Nothobranchius furzeri: one gene and its partners. The protein of the gene in region 2 interacts with the protein of the main gene of each other region in a biochemical or structural test. Links are inferred from orthologs where the notes say so. Each region holds a gene or a part of one and is shown on either strand. Other genes may lie near its edges.

Evidence for each region. The genes of interacting proteins can lie anywhere in the genome.
Region 1: the proteins of myod1 (region 2) and csrp3 form a complex in vitro, tested with the Homo sapiens proteins (2 studies listed by BioGRID and IntAct, with this or other methods). The link is inferred for Nothobranchius furzeri from reciprocal best matches to the Homo sapiens genes MYOD1 and CSRP3.
Region 3: the proteins of myod1 (region 2) and cdk4 form a complex in vitro, tested with the Homo sapiens proteins (2 studies listed by BioGRID). The link is inferred for Nothobranchius furzeri from reciprocal best matches to the Homo sapiens genes MYOD1 and CDK4.

Annotation. Positions count from the first base shown.
Region 1 is NC_091749.1:52,410,906-52,418,291, forward strand, and holds csrp3 (cysteine and glycine-rich protein 3), read right to left. Parts: upstream 4,787-7,386; 5' UTR 4,651-4,786; intron 4,168-4,650; 5' UTR 4,122-4,167; coding exon 4,010-4,121; intron 3,394-4,009; coding exon 3,222-3,393; intron 3,098-3,221; coding exon 2,974-3,097; intron 1,474-2,973; coding exon 1,380-1,473; intron 1,284-1,379; coding exon 1,210-1,283; 3' UTR 1,069-1,209; downstream 1-1,068. Other genes in the region: putative palmitoyltransferase ZDHHC13, read left to right, coding at 166-304; transcription factor E2F8, read right to left, coding at 6,566-6,733. UniProt on the Homo sapiens protein: Positive regulator of myogenesis. Acts as a cofactor for myogenic bHLH transcription factors such as MYOD1, and probably MYOG and MYF6.
Region 2 is NC_091749.1:52,555,829-52,563,387, forward strand, and holds myod1 (myoblast determination protein 1 homolog), read left to right. Parts: upstream 1-2,742; 5' UTR 2,743-3,817; coding exon 3,818-4,348; intron 4,349-5,317; coding exon 5,318-5,387; intron 5,388-6,533; coding exon 6,534-6,736; 3' UTR 6,737-7,107; downstream 7,108-7,559. UniProt on the Homo sapiens protein: Acts as a transcriptional activator that promotes transcription of muscle-specific target genes and plays a role in muscle differentiation. Together with MYF5 and MYOG, co-occupies muscle-specific gene promoter core region during myogenesis.
Region 3 is NC_091743.1:49,229,003-49,236,369, reverse strand, and holds the start of cdk4 (cyclin-dependent kinase 4), read right to left. Parts: upstream 4,787-7,367; 5' UTR 4,576-4,786; intron 1-4,575.

The DNA.
Region 1 (7,386 bases), about 140 kb from region 2:
CAGATCATACCTGTTTATGATTAAAGAGGCTGATGTCAAACCCTCACTCCCCTTGATGAAAGCATAAGAAAAACGGGAGAGTCCAGTGGTTCTGCTGTGGCAGCATCACTCGTTGTTGCGTCATGTTTAAGAAGAAAGGTGTTGTTGACCCTGATCTGTTTGCAGTTTGGGCGTGGTGCAGAACCTGGTATCGTTTTTCCAGTTGCGGTGCTGTGGCCTCTTCAAACCCACCGTCACCGACTGGACCAGTCAGTTCCAGCCCCACCGGGACCAGTACCTGTTTGACCAAACCCACATGGTCTGACCTCCTCTCCTTCAAACACTCAGGGTCAGATTCTGGTTCTGGACCAAAAGCACAGAATGTATTTATTTATTTTCCACCTGTTGGCTCCGTTTACAGTAAAACCACAGAAGAACAATACGAGCATGTGGATATTGTTTGTTTGAGCCGATCTCTGTACAAACTGCTATGGCCTTTAAACTCGACCAGCTAAAGGGAATCAGAACCTTTGAGGACCGAAGGTGTTGATGGAAGTTTTTAATCACCTGGTTTGAGGAAAATGAGAATATTTGTACATGTGAACACTTTGTTTTATGACTTTTGTAAAAGCTGCATGTGTTTAATAACAAATGACCACTATAATACTTCAATAAAACAATCTTGTGCCTGTCTGCTTTTACACACATCTCTCCTAATCATTTTTATTGTCGCTCTTTAATAATCAAAGTTAAGAGAAGACTTTACTTATTTCTATTGAGAGTATTGAGTTCAGCAGTAGCTCAGGAGGAAGAGTGGGCTGTGTTGTGTCCTCGGGCAAGACACTTAACCCCCTTTACCTGTTGATGGTGGTCAGAGGGACCAGCAGCTGCACTTATGTCTGAGTGTCCAGTTGTGGCTACAATGTAGCTCATCTCCATCAGCGTGTGTGTGAATGGATGAATGTTGCCCTGTGTAAAGCCTCTTACAATGAAACATGTAAGTATGGATCACTTATCATAATCTTTCCACACGGAATAAAGCAAGGTTTATGTCATTTTGCACCTTTCTAGAAAACACTTCAGAATGTATTTTTGTTGTAACAAATGGATTTTATTCTGTGTTTTTTTTTCCCCATGTGGTCATTTTAAAACAAGATTTAAAGTAACTGACATCCTCCGGGGTCAAAGGTGAAGTCTCGGCTCCCATTAATGGGTTTGAGTCAGACGTCCTCACTCCCGTTCCTCCAACATGGCTGCGTTCCCCAGCCCAAATCCTTTCGGACCAAAGTGTTTGGCGTAGCAAACTAGAGAAGAATGTAAAACATCAACAGCTGCGGCTGTGGTCCCAGCCCAACAACCTCAGTCATTAGAAACCCGCGTGTTCACCAGGTTGTTTGTACCTTTACAGTAAAGCTCCCCGTCCTTGTCCGTCACCGTGGTCGACTCCAGGCTTTTACCACACAGCGCACAGCGGAAACAGGTCTTGTGCCAGGCCTGAAACACACACGATGTAAATATTAAACACAAACTTATAAGGCGTTAAAGCAGAAAGATTAATAGAAGTACAATCAAAACTTACCATAAAATAAATAAAACACATAAAATGTAGAAGCAAAAACAAAGCTACACAAAATTAAAATCAAAGTCAACAGGATCAATAAAAAGACTCGACATTGGTTAGAGAGCGCAGGGTCGGTGGTAAAACGTTCCACAGTGAGGGGGCCACTCCCTGAAAGGCCTGATCAACTCTGGTCCTAACCTAGTTCAGGGCACCACCAGTAGCCACTGGCCTGAAGATCTGAGAGTGTCCTGGGTTGTGGATGTATAGATGGTATAATCAGGTGTCTTGACTGTTAATGATCTAAAAGTGGAGACCCTCCTTTATCAGTCACTAACAGATCTGTACGTATTTTGTGCGTAGGAACGATTATTACACACGTGTGGTATTTACCGATTTGTACTCGTGCATAGTAATGTTCCTAAATATAAGAACAGTTCTGACCTGCATACGAACAGCATCTAAAGGTCTCTGTTGTCCACACACGTTCCTCATCCATAAAGTATTTTACCCAATAAATAATGTCGGTGGAAAAACAGCTTTTTTGCACAATTGGTGCTAAAACCAATAAAAGACACACGTGACCGACGGGAATCGGACATTATATCTTGGCTGTTGTGTGTTGGAGGATTTGGCAGAGCGTGCACTCGAGGGAAGGCGTCCTCCGTGAGCGCACTGATCTCCCCGAAGGACATCCTTAGAGCTATGCTAGGATTTGAGACCCTTTGTGGCGCGACAGAGAAACTGCTCAGATGTGATTCCAGTTCATATTGTATTTTACAACTACGAGAGCCTCTCTACTTCCCAATCACACACGCCACGTAGTCAAGGTAACCCGACTGAATGAAAGCTCAGAAGAGGCTGCACTCAGACGACATTTCCAAATTTAACTAACTCCAAACAGAACAACTCCTTAAATGTAACATGTAAATGACAGCCCGTTACTCTACGATTTATCATATTCAACTTTTTATTTATTCCTGACGGAGACTCTCCTCTGTCCCAGTCGCGTTTACAACCTGTGCGACTTGTTTGGTTCTTTTGCACTTTGGCAGCCAGTGTCTCGATCTCGCTGTCAATGTTTTTATTTGGGGGGGGGGGGGGGGGTGCCCAGGGAATTCCCTCAGGTGCTGAAGACTTAGCAAGACCAAATAAGGTTAATTGAGGGCATTTATATGACACAGGTGGGATTTATCATCAGACGATTGAGGAGGAACATACGAAAGGCCGCCATTCATACGTTCTACATTTATTTTGAATATAAGACCGTCTCAATGAATGTTTGATAAATGAGGGCCGTGGACCCCAGGGAACTGGGAGCCAGTGTAGAGCTGCTAAAACAGAGGTGATGTGAACTCTTTAAGGAAGTTTGGCAGTGACACCAGAGTTTATCACAAGTGCGTACACCAACATGTTCAGAGAGGGATGGCTGTTACCTTTCCTGCTCCCATCACCTTCTCTGCTGCGTAGACAGCCTTGGAGCAGCGAGGGCAGCGGTCTGAGCCTCCAAACTTCTGGGAGAACTTGTTGGGGTTTGAAGAGGCCGATCGAGGTTTAGACCTAAAAAGTTTGTTTATAAATTCAAAATGAAGGGATGTCAAAATGTGCTTTGATGTGTCATTTGTGTATGTTGGGCTGTCTAGAGGAATGAGTCCTTGACTAGGCGGCCTTCTCAAACACGTACTCATGAGACTGTGGGTCTGCATCCTGTCCAGGAGGATCAGAACTCAGAGCTCCCGCTCCTTGTCCATATCCATAGCCTTTTGGCCCATATTTCTTGCCATAGCATGACTTGCAGTAAATCTCAGACTCGTGTGCTGCAACCGTAGTGCTGTCGAGCCCTTTCCTGCAGCTCACTAAAGGAAAATCAAACAATAATTTATGTAAAACCAGTTTAAATTAAATGTCTCCAGTTTGGCCAAACTGAGGAATGTCCTGTTGGAGGGATGAAGGTTAAATAAAGCTCCCACCTAGCTGCTTTTATCAGTCAGCACTAAGTCACATGGCTGTGTTGCTATTTGTGGAAGGAGATGGATGTGTGAAGGGAATGTTGGAGAGAAGATGAACTCTTAGCAGGTGGGATGAGTTTATCACAGAGCTCCCACTGGAACAAAGTATCCACCGCACAGACTGCAACAAGCTGCAGAGTGGGGTCAGCAGGTCGGTTCCTGCAGCGCTGGTGGGAGTCTGGATTATATGACTAAAAGATCTGAAGCTGCATTACAGGATGCAGCAGCAGAAATTCAAATATTTAGCCAGTTTGGAGGAGAGCTTAACGTCCAATGTCCTAAAAGAACAAAAATAATCTAAAGAGCAAAAGGTAAGAGATACATCTGGATCTGTGCTCAGAGACACTCTCAGGGGAAAGGAGCGGGCAATAAGGAATGACATAATTAAAGCACAGGCTAGACCCAGGTTTCTCCTCCACCAGGAGGTCTCGGTGGGCCCAGCAGAAGGAACCAGGATGCTCACTGCAGATGAAACAGGTCTTGTGGAAACTGCGTCCGTTACACTGGACCTCCTCTGCGTGGTACACCGTCTTCTCGCAGGCTGAACACCTGGATCCTCCTCCCCAAGTCGGCATCGTACAGATCCACGTGGACTCGTGGTTTCCTCTTCAGAACACAGGGCTGGAGGTCAAATGATTATTCCTGTTATTCATGTTTCTGTTACTCTGACAAACACGCCAGTTTAGTAAAATGAGTTTTTTTCACTATTTCATAAAACCGTGGAACATTTTTGATTGAAGGTTTAAAGAGTCACAAGATCTAGATTTATCTAGAATTATTTTCCATTCGAAAGATATCAAATACTGTAAACTTGGCCCACATCTTACTAATTTTGTGGCTTTAACTTCCATGTATTGCAGTAATAAATCACAGAAGACCAAAAGATTTCCCATTTCATTCCTGATGACTGATCACCTAAAACTGAAGAAGTGGGTGTAAACCTCACTGGCCTGTGTCACATTCCAGTCCCCGCTCCTATCCGAGCATACCTCACAGGACTGGCATGTGACATTTGGGGGAAAAAAGGCATGACAGCTAAAACTAAATGTCTTCAGCCAATAAGAATCAAGACATTTCACAGCTTTAACAACTAAAGGGTCTCACCTCGAGTCCAGTCGTGTGCACCTCCCTTCTAAAGCAACGGATAACTCTCCTAGATGGTTTAAATACTCTTCATCTCCTCCTCCTCATCATCACGGTGACGCCTCCTCCAAAAATAACTGTCAGAGTCCTTTGACCCTTTATCATCAGCTGAAAGAGACCAGAACATCAGACGCTCCAGCATTTGTTCTAGACTCATTCCTCTGACAGCTGCAGCACAAAGCATCGGTGTGCGGTCTGACAGGATTGTTCTGGAATCGACACAGCAGGTCTGAGCACCAAGAAACAGATATTACTTTGGACGCATGAAACGTCTAAAGAAAGCTGTTGTTCATAGATATCTGCATCAGGTGAGACAACAGCCGTTCGGATTCAGGGTCAAGCTGCTTGTTTTTGTTGGTACAAAATGTGAAGATTGATAAAAAATAGAATCAATGTCACATTTAAATGCATCAGATCAACAAAAAAGGTAACCTGAATAAATACTAAACACTGTTTTCTAATCATTTAAATTATGAGGAAAAGGGCTCAGAACCAACCAGGTTGTAAGTTTAAATCTCAGACTAACTGTGATTATTTGGAATGCTGACCTCCATCTCACCAGTGAAACCCAGACCTGCAAAAATCAATCAATTCAACAAGCCGTCTGACATCATGAGGTAGGCTAAAAGATCTCAAATGTGACGCTCTGTACTGATGAGATTCAAGAACAAAGAACCCGCAAGAACATCTGGAGAAAAGCAGGCCTCACACAGTTGAAGTTAAGGTCAGCGGTCATGACTCAACAGTAAGAAAAAGGCAGCAGAAAATGGTTCCATGGAAGATATGATGCTGACTTGTCTCACTTTTGCCAGAAAACCTCCTGATGATCTCCAGGAAGTGTCCTGTACTGCTGTAAAACTAGCACTGCATACACGGAGGTGGTGGTGTGGTGGTCTGGGTCTCTTTCAGGACCTGGACCACCTGCTGACTGACAGAACAATGAATTCTGCTCTCTACCTGAAGGAGAATGTCTGACCTTTGACCCTAAACAGGACGTTCTTGATGGAAACCCCCTCAACGTGTCCGATTGTGAATATTCGTGTTTTAAAAGGCTTACTGGCTGCATGTAAACGCACTGAAACAGTTCTCTAAAGCAGCGTGGGACTAAAGTTCTCCACGGTGACGCGAGACTCGTCACCAGTTTTCACAAATACTAATGGTAGTTGTTGCCGTTACTAGGTTTAGGTTCAGGCTGAGGGAGATATCAAAAGTAGGAATGATTGTATTCTAAATTACATTAGAAAGTCAGAACTATCAAGTAAATATACACTTACACCTGCAGTACCCACGGCTGTGGGAACTATGGGTGTTAAAATAAAACACGCCCCCGATAAAGAACAAGAGATCTGATGTTCTTAGAAAAATCCCATTAAAATTTATTCAACATTTAACAAAGAGCAGGAGATCACACAGAATCACTCTTATAAATTAAACCCATCACATGTCAACTTATATTCCCAGAATGCATGAAATATTCACATATGTTTAACTATTTAGTTCAAGGGTGGCATCAACATGTACACGTGTGCAAAAGTGATCTCGCATTCACTAAAGCGATGACGCAGCTTTAACTGATCCTGTGAGGAAAATACTTTTGTGTCATCCAGACCATAAAAAACATCTTGTGCAAACACTAGAGGCTAATCGAGGCCTGGGAAATCCATCGGATCGCACAGAGCGCTATAGTAGCGTTCGTGCCATTTCCCATAATGCCTCTGGTCCTGAGCCAAAGTCAGAGATGGCTGTGATAACAACCACCTCCATCAGGATGCTGGGAAATGTTTCAGAGCTCATGAATACTGGAAACTGTTAAACAGACCAGAGTAACAAAAACACACCCATTCACCACTAAGAACAAGCCCCACCCCTCTACAGATCAGGAGTCATCAGGGGACACGTCCAGCTTCCTCTGGGGGATGTTAACAGCTTTGGTAGCTTGGTGTCCATTGTTGGTTACCACGGCAGCCAGAGGCGAGAGGGGGACCGGCGTGTGAAAGAAGCTGTGCTGGGGGAGCCCGCTCCCTTTAGGGGTGGTCATCAGAGACTGGACGACAAATTAAAAACAAACAACAGATTTAAAGTCCACCTTATAATATGATTATACACAAACCAGCATCTGTGTGTACGTCTACTACTGATTCACTATGGGGACGAGAGAGAGAGAGACAGAGAGAGAGACAGAGAGAGAGAAAGAGAGAGACAGGCAGACATAAAGAGAGACAGAGAGAGAAAGAGACAGAGAGAGAGACAGACAGACAGAGGGAGAGACAGAGAGAAAGAGACAGAGAGAGAGAAAGAGAGAGAGAGAGAGAGAGAAAGAGACAGAGAGAGAGACAGACAGACAGAGGGAGAGACAGAGAGAAAGAGACAGAGAGAGAGAAAGAGAGAGAGAGAGAGAGAGAAAGAGACAGAGAGAGAGACAGACAGACAGAGGGAGAGACAGAGAGAAAGAGACAGAGAGAGACAAAGAGAGAGACAGACAGAGAGAAAGACAGACAGAGAGAGAGAAAGAGAGAGAGAGAGAGAGAAAGAGACAGAGAGAAAGAGACAGACAGAGAAAGAGAGACAGAGACAGAGAGAAAGAGACAGAGAGAGAAAGAGACAGAGAGAGAAAGAGAGAGAGACAGAGAGAGACAAAGAGAGAGACAGGCAGACATAAAGAGAGACAGAGAGAGAAAGAGAGAGAGAGAGAGACAG
Region 2 (7,559 bases):
AATTAGCTCCAGTTGCTCAAACGTGACTCCTCGACCGCTTTCAGAATCTGACAGAAGTTTCAACAAGATTATTGTTTTATTGTCGTTGTTCCTGAAATTTCTTATGGATTTCTGCCGTTTTCAAATAAAATGTTACGAGTCCCCATGAAAGACGATCACAGAATTTACTTTTTTTCCATCAGTCGGAGTCGCTTCACAATGATGTTAGACTAAAACAAGATCGGTTCCTCTACATTTCACAAAACTAATTTCAGAGCAACATCTGCCAAAGTACCGTCATTTTGTTTTCATCAAAGAGTTATTTAGTAGTTATGGATTCCCTCCTCAGATCAGTCTTTCATCTTCACAGAGAAACACAACAAAATGACTTTAGTTTTATCTTTCAGGAAATCTAGAGAGGTCCTTCCATAGAATAATTAACATTAAACCCTGCCTAATAAGTGCAAAAATGCACATGAATAATTGTTGTGTTCATTTGATACATTTTGGGTCAAGATATTTCCCAGAGTGTTGGTGCATTCAAGCAGATCTCCCCACCCTTCTGTGTCCTCACACATCAGCTGATGGTGGAGCTCCTGTCACCAGGTTCTCTGACGTGTCCTCCCCAATGGGTGGAAATCAGAGCAACAACAACAAAAACAACCTTCCTGGAGGTGGTGATGGCCCTGGTATCAATTATTGGAACAAAGGAACTGAGCAGTGCTGGCTTTTACAGCAGAACGTTATGAAATCTCAAAAACAGACGAAAACAAATCTATGAAATAAGAAAAGAGTTAAATCATCTTGTTTCATCTTCCTGATTTATTCAGAAAACAAAACATCCAAAACCTCTACGAAAAAGAATTAGTCTTGATGTAGAATTTGTAAAATATGGTATAAAATTCAATAAAGGCTCCTTTTAACATTCATCCAATAAAAATTTAAATAAATGTCCAGTCTTTTGAAAACAAACTAGTCAGCGATTTTTAAACATGAGTTTCTTCTTTTAAAGACCAAGTTCGGGTCTCTAGTAGAAATTAATGCCTTGTGAGTTGATCGCTGTGGGGGAAAAAAAGCTCTGGCGCTCCTGTTTCAGGAAGAAGTGAGGAGAGGAGACAGAGCAAAAGAGGACAGGATTTGTTGTTTTATTTCTGTTTGATTGGTGTCTGACTGGCTAACAGCTACATAACTCTACCTCTGACTGTTTGCTCTGCATTGTTAATGCTTTACACACAAACCACAAACCTAAAGGGCTTCTGCTGTGTGGTGGAGATGCTAATGCTTGGTGGTTGGATTGTCTTGCCTTGACATTGTGTACCAAGATGGGTGAGTCCATGAATGCTAATTTTCAGTGTGACATAGATCTGTCAGGCTTTCTTATCAAAGTGTTTTCCTGTCTGTTTGCTACTGGCGGCAAATGCAGGAAATGGGGTAGGAGACTATTTTCACATTCAGCTTGTATGTTAAACTCAGTTGGACAGATCATATTTAACAAATTACAAGTAAAAATTGGTTTCTTTTTGAACTTGGGCTTTAAACTATTTAATGTTAGCTGGATGTTAAACCAGTCCCAGTAATAATTTACCCATGGGGGAAATGGATAAAATAAGAAATATTACCAAGAATTGGATGCGGTTCTTTGGAAACTGCAGTTTCACATGTCTGTGAACGCATGAGGTGGGACATGTGAAACCGTGAGATTAACACCTTCACAGGAATGCTCTTTCAGATTCATTTCAGTCACTGCAGATGAAATTCTATGTCTCACATTACTGGGCTGGATGTGCTCATGTTCATCGGTCAGTTTGTGGGGGGTTAACAAACCTGGAAACATGATCATGTGTTGAAGCTTTTAACATAACCAGACTTTTCATTAACAAACTCCCCAAAAATCAGTGGATGTTTAGTTTTTTGGCTATTTTCAGAAAACAATGTTTTTGAATGGCATTGTGAATATAAGGCAGCCTTACCTTAAACCGGTTTGTGTTCAGTCAAATTTAAAAAATGAAAAGATGAAACATGTTTAAAAATTTAAAAGAGTTTTCTTCATTCAAGACTTTCAGGAAAAGAGTACAGTTTATGAAATTCTCATCTATGATTCGGATGACGTGTTGCAGATGTTTCTAAAATGCTCTCATATATAAAAATAACAAATAAATAAATAAATCAGACATCAGGTCATCATCCAGAGTCCAGCAGCAGCTGTTTACTGGCAATAAAGACCACGATGATGATGACGGAAAATATTTTTTGTCTGACTCTTGTGTCTCACTTTCCCTCACACACACACACACACACTCACACACACACACACACACACACACACACACACACACACACACACACACACACACACACACACACACACACACACACACATACACATACACACGCACACGCACACACGCACACGCACACGCACACACACGCACACGCACACATGCATACATGCACACATGCATGCCTACATAGAGACAGAGAGAGAGAGAGAAAAGAAAGAAAGAAAGAGAGAGACAGAGAGAGAGTAGAGAGGGAGGGGGGAGAAAGAAAGAAAGAGAGGGGAGAGAGAAATAGAGAGAGGAAAGAAAGAGAGAGAGGGAAATGAAAGAAAAGAGAGATAGAAGAGAAAGAGAGAGAGAGAGAGAGAGAGAGAGCGAGAGAGAGAGAGAGAGAGAGAGAGAGAGAATATTAGATGCCTGTTGAGATTTTGATGTTAGGAAAACAAATGAAGTGCAATGACGTGTTGTGTTCAAGTTGTGTAAAAATTATAATTTTTATAAAGTCCTACTGATCTGAACAAGATTTATAGAAAAAAAAATACAAAAAGTATTCAGGTTTTGCGAGGTTATACGATAGTTTTACCTCAGATGCAGTCTTCCAGGGGTCTCTGCCCTGCTGTGTTATAGTTTGTTTAGTTGTGTTAGTTATTGGAAACCAAAAGGCAATATCATGGCTCCAAAAGAAGACAAATGTTATGGTTCCTTTTTATTGGACAAATGATGTCAGAGACACTTCATGTATGTTTTTCAAGACTTCTAAAACACATTTCATGTTAAATATTTGTGTTGAAAAACATCGAGCATATGACTGAATCAGAGCATTTTACTAATACCGTTTCACATATTTGTGCTGGACTAGGATTAGTGTGTTTCTCGGGTCATTTAGATCAGTACTGAAGATATAAAGTAACTAAACTGTTCTGATGCTGAGACTGCTGTGAGCTCAACTCTATCAGGTCTAGTAAACGCTGAAATCATGTCTGGGTTCTCTGATAAAAGCTCATGAGTACAAATCTTTCCTGTTCCGATCTCATGAAAGAGGAGATTCATTTCAGATGAATCCTGAATCTCAGCGCAGGAGTTCTAAACGCTCATGATTGGATAAGATACGTTTTTTGAGCTGATGAGTCTGGATGTAAAGAGGTTCAGTCTTTTCTTTTTTGTGTGTGATGACGTGTTTGATCCCTCAGAGTTGAACAAGGACTCAACAGCTGACTCTTTGATTTGTGATGATGGACTTGACTGTCGTTTTTATTGCTTCCTCTTTATGTTTCGTCCCCTTTACACACACACTCACACCCGACTGCACCATTGGTCACTTGGGTCGTGGCCCCGCCTCCACACTGACTGCTATATAAACCCGGACCAAGCCAAAGCAGCTGAGGTTACACAGACTGGCCCTTTAAACGCTCTGTCATTTTACTATGTTCTGGTCAGATGAGTTTGAGATTTGCGAGTCGTCCTAGGAGACACTTCATGAGGATTTCCTTCTAAAGTCTGATATCAGAGGAGTGTCACAACAAAAAGACTTTCTGCTGCTGCTTTCAGGGAGTCGTTCAATGGATTTGTCAGATTTTCATTTCCCTCTTTCATCTACTGATGACCTCTATGACCCCTGCTTCAGCACCAGCGACCTGAACTTTTTCGATGATTTGGATGCCCGGCTGTCACACGGCGGCCTGCTGAAGTCAGAGGACCACCTTCATCACCACGTCCCATCATCAGAGGAGGAGGACCAGCATGTGCGGGCCCCTGGAGGCCTCCATCAGGCGGGCCACTGCCTGCTGTGGGCCTGTAAGGCCTGCAAGAGGAAGACAACGCACGCAGATCGGAGGAAAGCAGCCACCATGCGAGAAAGACGGCGGCTCAGCAAAGTCAACGATGCATTTGAAACTTTGAAGCGGTGCACGGCTTCCAATCCAAACCAGCGTCTGCCCAAAGTGGAGATCCTACGGAACGCCATCAGCTACATCGAGTCTCTGCAGGCGCTGCTGCGGGCCGGCCAGAACGACAGCTTCTACCCGCCGCTGGAGCACTACAGCGGGGGGTCGGACTCCCCCGGCACCCACTCCAACTGCTCCGACGGCACGGTGAGTCTGGGAACAGCTGAAGGGTTCATGTGCTGCCCCACGAAATGTAAGGAATGTGACGGGAGATTTATTTTGGGCCACGGTGATTAATCTGGACAAATGCAACCTTTAGCATGGATCCCAGTGGATTTCAAATGTTTTGCACCTAAACAGAAAGTTTGTCAAAATGTTGTCTTTCAGTTACAAAAAAAATCTTTTTTTGTTTTATTACTACAGAATTGACTAATATTAAAGCAAAAGGTGTTATTTGATGCTGAAGTTATTTATTTCAGGCTGAAAACTTTATGTGCTTTACTTGATTTGGGTGGTGGTGAGTATTATCAGCTTACTGTTGATGTGTCATATTTACCAAAATGTTATTTGTCATCTCTAATCCCTGGACCGTTCTTCTGACTTAACGTAACATTTTTATCATTTTCATCATTTCATTGAGCAAGTAGCGCACATTAGAGTACCAGGAGGGGAAATGTTTAACTCTGTGAGAGTTACCGTGGACAAAAACCAACATTGTTGATTTAGTTGTTTTTTTAATCAAATCAAATTCTTCTCTTTCTAAATAATAAACTGAACACCAGTTTTTGTTTTATTTACACATTTAAAAACAACATATTATATATACATATTATATTTAGACATCTCAACTTTATGATGTGGGGTGAGAGCACATCTTTAATAATAATAAAATTAATCTTTTTTTTTTACAGTGCAAGACATGTTCTAAAGAAATCACTAAATTATACTCATTAAATCCAACCAGTGTGTGTGTGTGTAATCACAGAGCTGTTGTTAATCATAAGATTTGTTTTAACTTGAACATATTACTTATTCAAAACAGTGCTAAAAATTAATAATTTTAATGAACTTTTGAACCTGAAATGTCTCTTTTTGTCCATCTCTACGTGTTGTGGGTGTGAGTCTGAGTAAAGCTGAGGTTTTAAACACTCACTGATGATTACGTTTTATTTTCAGGCGGATTTCATCTCACCATGTTCGAGCAGAAGTGAAAACAGCGATTCTTCTTATGTCAGACAAACAGACGGTGAGCTCATTTAGCACGTCTCTATCTACCGGAGTCAAAATGTGTGCATCTGCTACTTTACATTAGATTTCATATTATTAACATTAACAAACAGATCCAAGGGTCAGGACATTTCTTTAGTCTTTTATTTCAAAGATCTCTTCTTAAATAGAACTTCTTTTTTATTTAAACTCTTTTTGCTAATTTCGTATAAAATAGAAACAATTCTGAATTAATTCATTAATTCACATTTTCTTTATTTTTAAAAGTTTTTCATGAATATGTCTAGCTTTAGACACTCTTCTTTGATGTTTTCACTCTATGCTGTCATTTTTTGTTTATTCACATTTTTTAAAGACATATCTTCCCTTTGCCCTCTGAATGCCTTACCAGTAGGTACAGTCCCACAACGATTTTTAAATAGATGTGTGCTTATGAACCATAAACTTTGCATGTTCTTATCTTACAGTTCATGTCATTTTGAGACTCAGACCAACCTTTCAGTTTAAAAATATGAAGACATGAGAATGGATAAAATGAGGAAAGCAATTGCTAATATGGTTTTTATAAATAAATAAATAAATAAATAAATAAATAAATAAATATATATATATATATATATATATATATATATATATATACATATATATATATATATATACATATATATATATATACACATATGGCTGCATGGTGGCGCAGTGGGTAGCACGAAGGTTGCAGGTTCGAAACTCAGCTGCAGCCTTTTTGCGTGGAGTTGCGTGCTCTCCCCATGCATGCGTGGGTTTCCTCCGGGTACTCCGGTTTCCCCCACAGATCACAACATGCCCTATAGGTTATAAATTGTAAGTCGCTTTGGATAAAAGCGTCTGCTAAATGAATAAACATAAACATCAACATAAACACACACACACACACACACACACACATATATATATATATATATATATATATATATATATATATATATATATACATATATATATATATATATACACATATAAGACAAAACAATCGGCCCATATCGGCTGTCCTTAATTAAAGGTTCAAATCCCACTGCCTCCAATTGCCAAACAAATAAGTGACAAAACATGTAAGCATACTTAAGAAAATCTACCTGACATAAACTTTTCTTGAAGTCTAACTCTTTTTGTTTCTTCTCTGCAGACTGCAGCAGCAATAAAACATCGCTCATTTCCAGTTTGGACTGCTTGTCCAGCATTGTAGAGCGCATCAGCACAGACCCAGCTGTGGGCCCCACAGGAGACAGCGTGGTTCCCCGGGGCCCCGGATCACCTCATAACACCCCCACCATCTCCACTACTTCACCCGCTGACCCCAGCAGCATCTATGAGTCGATTTCCACCTGATGACTCATTTTCCTCTGAAACAAACTTCTTATAAATCCCTTCTAGAGGGAAACACAACATTATTCCTGATTGCTGAAGAAAATAACTGAAATACGAACTTGTAGATTGAAATCTTTGTGTTTTTGTTGTGTTTCCCTGAAATTTGAGTTGATTTTTTCAGTTTCCAGCTGATAAAATGAATGCTGCTGTCTGTTTTTTTTACAAAAAGGAGGGCTTTTCCACGCTGAATCCTGCTGATCATCACTAAGGACCATTTATTACACCTGCTGACTGTTCGTGTAATGTCAGATCACAGTTAAAGGTTTGCTGTAAATGTTTGTATAATATTTAAAAGTTGATGACATCCTAATAAAGTAATATTTATATTCTGAGTTATTTTCCCAAACACATAACTTTTTTGGTATCTAATATTTTCTTAAGATTTGTTTTCCATGTTGATTTTAATTTTACACGTATACCTTAAAATGAATATTTTTATGAATATAGAGCGGGTTGCAGGTTCAATCCCGGCTCCTACCAGAGAATGCTGCTGTTGTGTCCTTGGGAAAGACACTTAACCCACCTTGCCTGCTGGTGGTGGTCGAAAGGAGGAACCTCGACATGGCAGGCCTCACCTCTGTCAGCGCACTCCAGGGTAGCTGTGTCTACATTGTAGCTCATCATCACCTGATTGTGCTGTGAAGCACCTTGGGATGTTGTAGAACCTAAGAATGCGCTACTCATATACAGGCCATTTGACTGATCTTGTGTACTAACACAGGCCGTTTACCTTGTGTACTAATACAGGCCTTTTACCTTGTGCGCTAATACGGGCTGTTTACCT
Region 3 (7,367 bases), on a different chromosome or scaffold from region 2:
ATACAGTCTGTTGACCATGCGCGCACACGGACACAAATAAGGAAACACAAATAAGGAAAGAAAGGAGGGGTTGATGTGTGTGTGTGTGTGTGTGTGTGCGTGTGTGTGTGTGTGTGTGTGTGTGTGTGTGTGTGTGTGTGTGTGTGTGTGTGTGTGTGTGTGTGTGTGTGTGTGTGTGTGTGTGTGTGTGTGTGTGTGTGAACAATTAGAGGGGCTGGCATGCTGCTTTAAAGAAAAAAAACAATCATTTGGTTGATAAACTCTCTTTAGCTCTCTGCTCCATGTTGCAAAGAGCAGAAAATGCTTATTTAAACTATTTTACCTGATGAGAATTTAACCTGCTGCAGCAGTATCTAATAAGAGATTCATTTATTCTGGTTCTGTGGGTCGGTGGGTTCTTATTTACTTGAAATGTACTTGAAAGTTAGCATTTTAGAAGTAAAAACTCCCCCACAGCTCTGTTATTGCTAGCTTTACGTAGCATTTAGTGACGGTGGATTCACAGACCAGGACAAGTGTTGAGATTATTAGCCGTCAGGTTGCTGCTTGGCAGGGATGTATTTATAGACAAGTCACTGGTGGAGCTGATCATGCTCAATAGTGGCCATTCTGATCACAGGATGTCTTAATGCATCTATAAAAGTCAAATCAGATCAACTGTGTCCCGTCTGGATCATCTTTACAGATATTTGTTACAAACAGATGAGATTAAACATGTAAGAAGATTCTTGCAAGTCAGTGAAGCCTCATTCACACCGAAGGATGAACGGATACGGTCCAGTTTCCTTAAAGTCCAAAAATCATTGAGCCCAATCAGAACGTTCACACTGGCTGTGGTGCGGTCCAGATGTGGAGCTCCTGAAAGTTTCTGCATGGCGTTTTTTTTTTCTTCTGCACACTGCATGCAGAGTGTCATGAAGTTAAATAAATGACAGGAGCCAGACAGGAAGTGAGCCTTGTTTCAGCAAGTTGCATCCAGTATTTTTCAAAGTAAACAAAGTAAAACATGTTGTGTTTTTTTAGCCGATTTTTGTTTTATTATTAATGACAAGAATACTAAATCACGGTGTATGATAGTTCACAATCTTTTTACAGGTGGATCTTTGTTAGGATACTATGCAACTTTATCATATTTTTAAATTATTTTCTTGAGCCAGTATGTGCTAAAAGACCCTTTACAAGGTTCATTAAATGTCACTCAGACCCCCACTGCCCCCTCTGGCAAGAATTGACCCTTTGCACCGACGCCACCTAATCACGTGGACGGCAAAAGCATGTAAACAGTGAGCGACACGATTACAAAACAAAGGGAAAAGTAGAGCCTGAAATTGTTTTAGCGATCAAAACAAAAACAAAACTCCTCCAGCATTCCTTCAACTAGTTCAGGCCCAGTTCAGTTATCAGAAGAAGTAGCGCATCTAGCGGGGGCTCATAGAGAGCGGTGTGTTAACAAGCTTACCAACGTTAGCTTACGTTCTCTCTGCAGCTGTTCACCGATGTAAACATGTTGCTGACTTTGCCTAAATTCACCCCTCTGGATTTATAAAATTATGTTATAAACAGCGTTTCACTTTACACCAAAGCTGATTTTTAAAAAGTCCGGATCCCTACCAGCTTCTGTTGCTGGTGGTGTTACCGGGTTCAGCTGCTGCTTTCACACCGGAATGAGAAGATCTCTGAACGCCGACGCTCATATAAATAAATAACGTAATTTTAACACACGTAATCATACATCGGAGCTTTAATATTGTTAATAATCGTCTCGCTTTACACTACAGTGGACGGAGCGCAGCCTCCGTGGTGAAATACCCGTCCATCAGGATTATCAATAACTTGTATAAACACATCACATTTACCCCTGTCCCCGTCTTCCTCGTCAAATAAATGAACGTTAATCTTACCCGGTAAAAACATGTTCGCTGCAAATCTGAGACCTGCTAGTCCGCTTGATTGATCGCTGCAGTTCATCTCCGTCCTCAGTCTCCATCAAAGTTAATAAAAAAACAAAACAAGTTGACTTTACATCCTTGTCTGTTAGTGCAGCCGACCACGCAGCAAGCTAAAACCATTTTACTGTCGAATCAACTAAATAAAAGCTATAAAAGGCTACAAACTGGCTTGTTTTGACTAGCTTCACTGGAGTTTCTACGGGTGTAAACGGTCTTTTTGCCGTCCATCATGGTGAAGGGGGCGGTCACATGAGTGGCGTGACGTCACGTGCACAGGGTCAATACCGCACTTGCAACTTCAGTGTGGTGGGCTGCCACCTGTTGGACTTGTGCCACTTACACACTAGCATCAGCTCCACTCCACTCCGCCCACCCCAGCCTGGCTGTGTTCGTCCCACACTGCCTTGAGAATATAGATGTGATTGAGAACATAGGCGGTCTGGGGCCTGTGATGTCATGAGCGCATCTATAAGCATGTGGGCGGAGCAAAAGAGCGCCAACACCTGAAATTGTAGCGCAACGTCTGTAAAATCAACGTAGCTACTGACAGGAGGGGCTGCTGAGTCTAGGCGCCACCAGTTCCTCCAACCACCACCAGCAGGAGAGGTGGTTTAAGTAAATACACAACAGCAGCATTCTTTCTCTGGCAGGAGAATGGGTTAGGGTGAACTCTGACCCTGAGCAATTGGGCTTTCACATCTTGATAGGCACATCTGGGTAGTCGTTTTCCATGCTCAGCTTTTTTTTTTTGGAGCTTCTCCCCAGTAGTCTATTTCATGGAAAACTGAGCCAACACACCAAATACGACTGATTGGCCAGCTGAAGTTCACACCTACCTATAGAGGGAGCCTCTGATTGGTTGGTAGAATTAGCCAGCAGAGGCTTCCCATATTTGTAAACATCTCTGACTGCTGGTCAGACAGACTGCTGTGAGGAGCACGCAGCAGTATCGGCGTGAGAGTAGGAAACGGTGTGCTTCATATCACTGCTCACGGCTACTTTTGCTTACCAACGTGAGTAAAACACCCACCTGGCCCACGTGCTCTGAGGCATTCGCTCTGAGAAGGCTATGTGAACAAAAACTGGCCATGCAGGGGTGGGCCGACTCTACCGAGACCGGACCAGGCCAGTAGAGCCCTGCAATGAAGCCCTAGGCCCTCAGGTCGGCCCGGTCCGACGGCCCGAGGGCCGGGCTTCGGGCCAACGACTGCGTAATTACCTCGGACACGGGCCGGGCCAGGCGCCTTTATTTTTAATCAAATTCATAAAAAAAATTGAAACACTTGAATGCAGCAGCACCTGCCTGCTTCTCACGCACCGGCACCGTTAGCTCAGTTAAGGTCTGTGTGGTTTATTAATGCGCCTATATAAACGGCTGACTGAAACATGTGCCCCTATTCTAATATGCCATTTTATGTCCACTTTGATATGTCAGAAACCATTTGTTTATTCTCAAGAAAATGACAGCATTCTATTTTTCTGTGAATAAATTCGCTCTGCAGTTAAAAAAATACAGCATTCATTGTTGTTGTTTTTTCTAACTGGCGAGCGCATTTTCAGAGCGGCAGATTAAATTTACAAACACTATATTAATTGGGGGTGTTTATTTAATCTGCCGCTCTGAAAATGCGCTCTGCAGTTAGAAAATTAGAATGCTGCTTTTTTTTCTAATTGCACAAGGGCGCATTTTCAGAGCAGATTAAATTTACAAACGCATCCAATTAATATAGTGTTCGTAAATTTCATCTGCCGCTCAAAAAATACGCTCTGTTAGAAAAAAAAGCTGCATTGAATGCTGTTTTTTTGTTCTTTTCTTTTTATTTATTTATTTTTTTTACTGCAGAATGCTTCTCACAGATAATTAGAATGCTGAGCATTCTATCACGCTAAAACATTATGAAAGGTTAAAAAACAAAATTGGGCTCAGGCCAGAGAATCCTGAAAACCTTTTCGGACCGGGTCGGGCTGGGGCTCCACGGGCCGGACACGGGCTCAGATTTTAGGCCCGTGCAGGGCTCTACAGGCCAGATGTGACGACGCCATACCAGACCAGTGTGTCTTGAAAATGGGCTGCAGTAACCAATTTTGACCATAGGATGTCATTCCTACTTCCTTCTTCCATGTTGCACCTTTAATTTAAACATTTATGTTTCCCCTTCTTTCAATAACATCTGACCAGCTTCAGCCCAGCTGGGAGTTTAATTGAACTGGCAGCATACCGATAACAGCAAATCAGTAATTAAATGATCAACAGAAGCTGACCTCCATTCATTTTTACGGATCTATCAGACCGACCCACGGAGAAGCAGGCCCGTGGGCAGAGTCAGCAGGCCGGTCCAGGCCAGGACAGACACGTGGTGCTACTCCACGACTCTTCTTTGTTGATTAAACTAAAAGAAAAGTGGAGCAACAGCAGGCCGACGGCTAGTTTCTCCTCCTCAGACATGTGCCCCAACGTGGCGGAGGGATAGCTGACAACTACGGCCGCTGGCGGAGGACAAACCACCGACTGCAACTTTTATTTAACGCATCTGTCCAGCCCAAACTCCAGATGTCCAGAGTTAAGGTGACCAACACGACCCAGCTGTAGTTTCCTGTATCCGAGAGTCCAGAAACACGAACCTACCTCGCCCGTTTCTCCTCTCCGTGTTTCAGCGGCAGGTGAGATCACTTCAGCGAGGCATGCTTCTTCTCCTGCCACGTCTCTAACTCGTTCAGAACCGGGTCAGAGGTGGACAGGGCCGGGTCCAGACCCAGACTCTTTGCCCACGGGTGCTTGTGATGTGGGGAAACCAAGTCAGTCGGTTTGATTTCGGCCTCTCGTCGCACTTTTTTTTCCGCCTGTCTTCCTTTTGCTCAGGGGGCGGGGCTACAGCCTAAAGCAGCAACGCAAACTTTAGCGCATCATCTCCTCTAAAGCCTCTGCTGATGTAAAATACCTGTTTCAGCTTCCAAGAAGCAGTCATCTTTACTTTAAACGTTTCCAACATTTAACTTTGTTACACATCATCAAAGGAAGAGTGGGGAAACTGTAAATGTGGTTTCACCAGACTTAAAGTTACATTAAAACAAACAAACAAATGTGTCTAAAACCTTTTTTCATGCCTCTTAACAAGTTCTGATATGTTAAAGAAATAAAGAAACTGTGGAGATGAAATAAATAAATAAAGTGGTTCTTTCACATTTGTCTAAAAACCTCAGCAAATAACACATTTAGGACCAGAAGCAACTATTGAACCATCAGTTGTTGGTCTCCAAACCGCTGAACTCCTGCACGACCATGGGGCCTCTATTCGTTACGCACTCGCATATTTGGCAACAGAACACCGCTGGTGTGAGAGGTTCGCGGCTCAGTAGTATCAGAGGAGGAGAAACGGCCGGCTGCTACCACTTCAACTTTTGGACAAACTGCCAGAGCCTAAAAAAAACCCTCCATTTTATGTCACAGACAAAAGCTGTTTGGACCTAGAAAACGGTTACTGGTGTTTGGCCATGTCTCGTTTCGTGCGGCATTAACATGTGCAGCTTTTGGTCGGTTGTAATGCCGTGTTAAAAGCGCTCTATAATTAAAGTGGTATGGTATCGCAGGTTGCGTCTCAGGGAAGATACCCGAGGGAAGGGGTGAGTGTTCTGTGACTGTGTTTGGGTTCGAAACCTAGCATGTTTGCAGATTTATTATAACAGCTTAATGGTTTAAGTATGTTTAGGTGTGTTTTTAAATTCTAAAGTTAGTGGTGTCCCGTGAGGAAATTCAAGGGTGAAGGAATCAAGATCAGCATCTGAGCACTATAGTTTAGGTCAGTGTTTATAAATAGTTTATTCTTAGTTAGATTTGGGTCGCTGGGATTGAAGAGAGGTCCAAATTATCCTCTGTCCAGCTATTTCCACTGGTGGGATCCTTACTAGGGTTGCACCAATACTTTTTCCCAAACAGATACGATACCGATTCTTGGATCTGAGTACTCGCCTACACCGATACTTCTACCACACAATAAAATGCAATGAATTGGAATACAGGTTTTATTTTCTTTTCTTTCAACAGGAAAAGTGTGTGAGGTAGATTAAAAAATAAAATATATTAATGGAAATGATCACAAAACTAAAATATTAGGTGAACAGAAATGACAAGTTACAGTGAAGCCACTTTCAGGCAACTGCATTGGCATTGATTCCTGGTATCGATAACGGTATTGGCGCATCCCTAATCCATACCATACTAGCTTTATTTCCATAGCACATTTAAAAACAGCATGACAGCTGACCAAAGCACTTTACAGATACACTGCAAAATACACCAAAATGATAAAACGGACAAGGGATGAGAAATTACAATTTACTTAGTTAACCTGGGAACCTTCTGTCAGTATCACATTCCTGGAATTCCTCGCCTGTGACGTTGTAGGAGGCATTCTGATGAAATGCCCAGACCACCTCAGCTCGTTCCTCTCTGTGGAGGAGCCGTGGCTCTACTCAGTTGTCTGAGCTCGGCATCATATCTCAAGGCTGAGATCAGCCACCCTACAGATGAAAGTCATTTCAGTTGCTTGCATTCATGGTCTTGGTCTTTTGGTCATTACCCAAAGCTCATGACCATGAGTGATGAATGGGATTAAGAATGGCTTATAAGAGCTTTGGTTTCTGGCTGAGCTCATTGGTCAGCCACTCCCCGTTACAGAGCCATCACCAGCACCTTCATCACCCCCCCCCCCCCCCCCCCCCACTCACGAGGTGTTCACATCACACACCTCCACCACAAATCTACTCGTTCATGAAGCAGATGTAAAGAAGCAGTTCAGGTCTCTTAACACACGAAAAGCCCCGGGCCCTGATGGCGTGGCTCCTGCCACTCTAAAGCACTGTGCTGAAGAGCTGGCCCCAGTGTTTACGAGCATCTTCAACTCCTTACTGGAGGAATCTCATGTGCCTGCCTGCTTCAAGATCTCCACCATAGTCCCTGTCCCCAAGAAACCAAGAATCACTGGACTAAAGGACTGCATCTGTGGTCATGAAGTCATTTCAATTCAATTCAAAAATACTTTATTAATCCCAGAGGGAAATTGATTTGATTTGAGCACCTAGTTCTCCCCCACCTCAAGACCCTCACAGCCCCCCTCCTGGACCCCCTGCAGTTTGCATACAGACCAAACAGGTCTGTAGATGATGCAATCAACATGGCTCTACAATTCATCCTGCAGCATCTGGACTCCCCAGGTACCTACGCCAGGATATTGTTCGTGGACTTCAGCTCTGCACTCAACACAATCCTGCCAGACCTCCTCCAAGACAAAATGTCCCAGATGAACGTGCCTGACCCCATCTGCATGTGGATCACTGACTTCCTGACAGACAGGAAACAACAAGTCAGGCTGGGGAAGAATGTCTCGGACCAACGGACCATCAGCACCGGCTCACCACAGG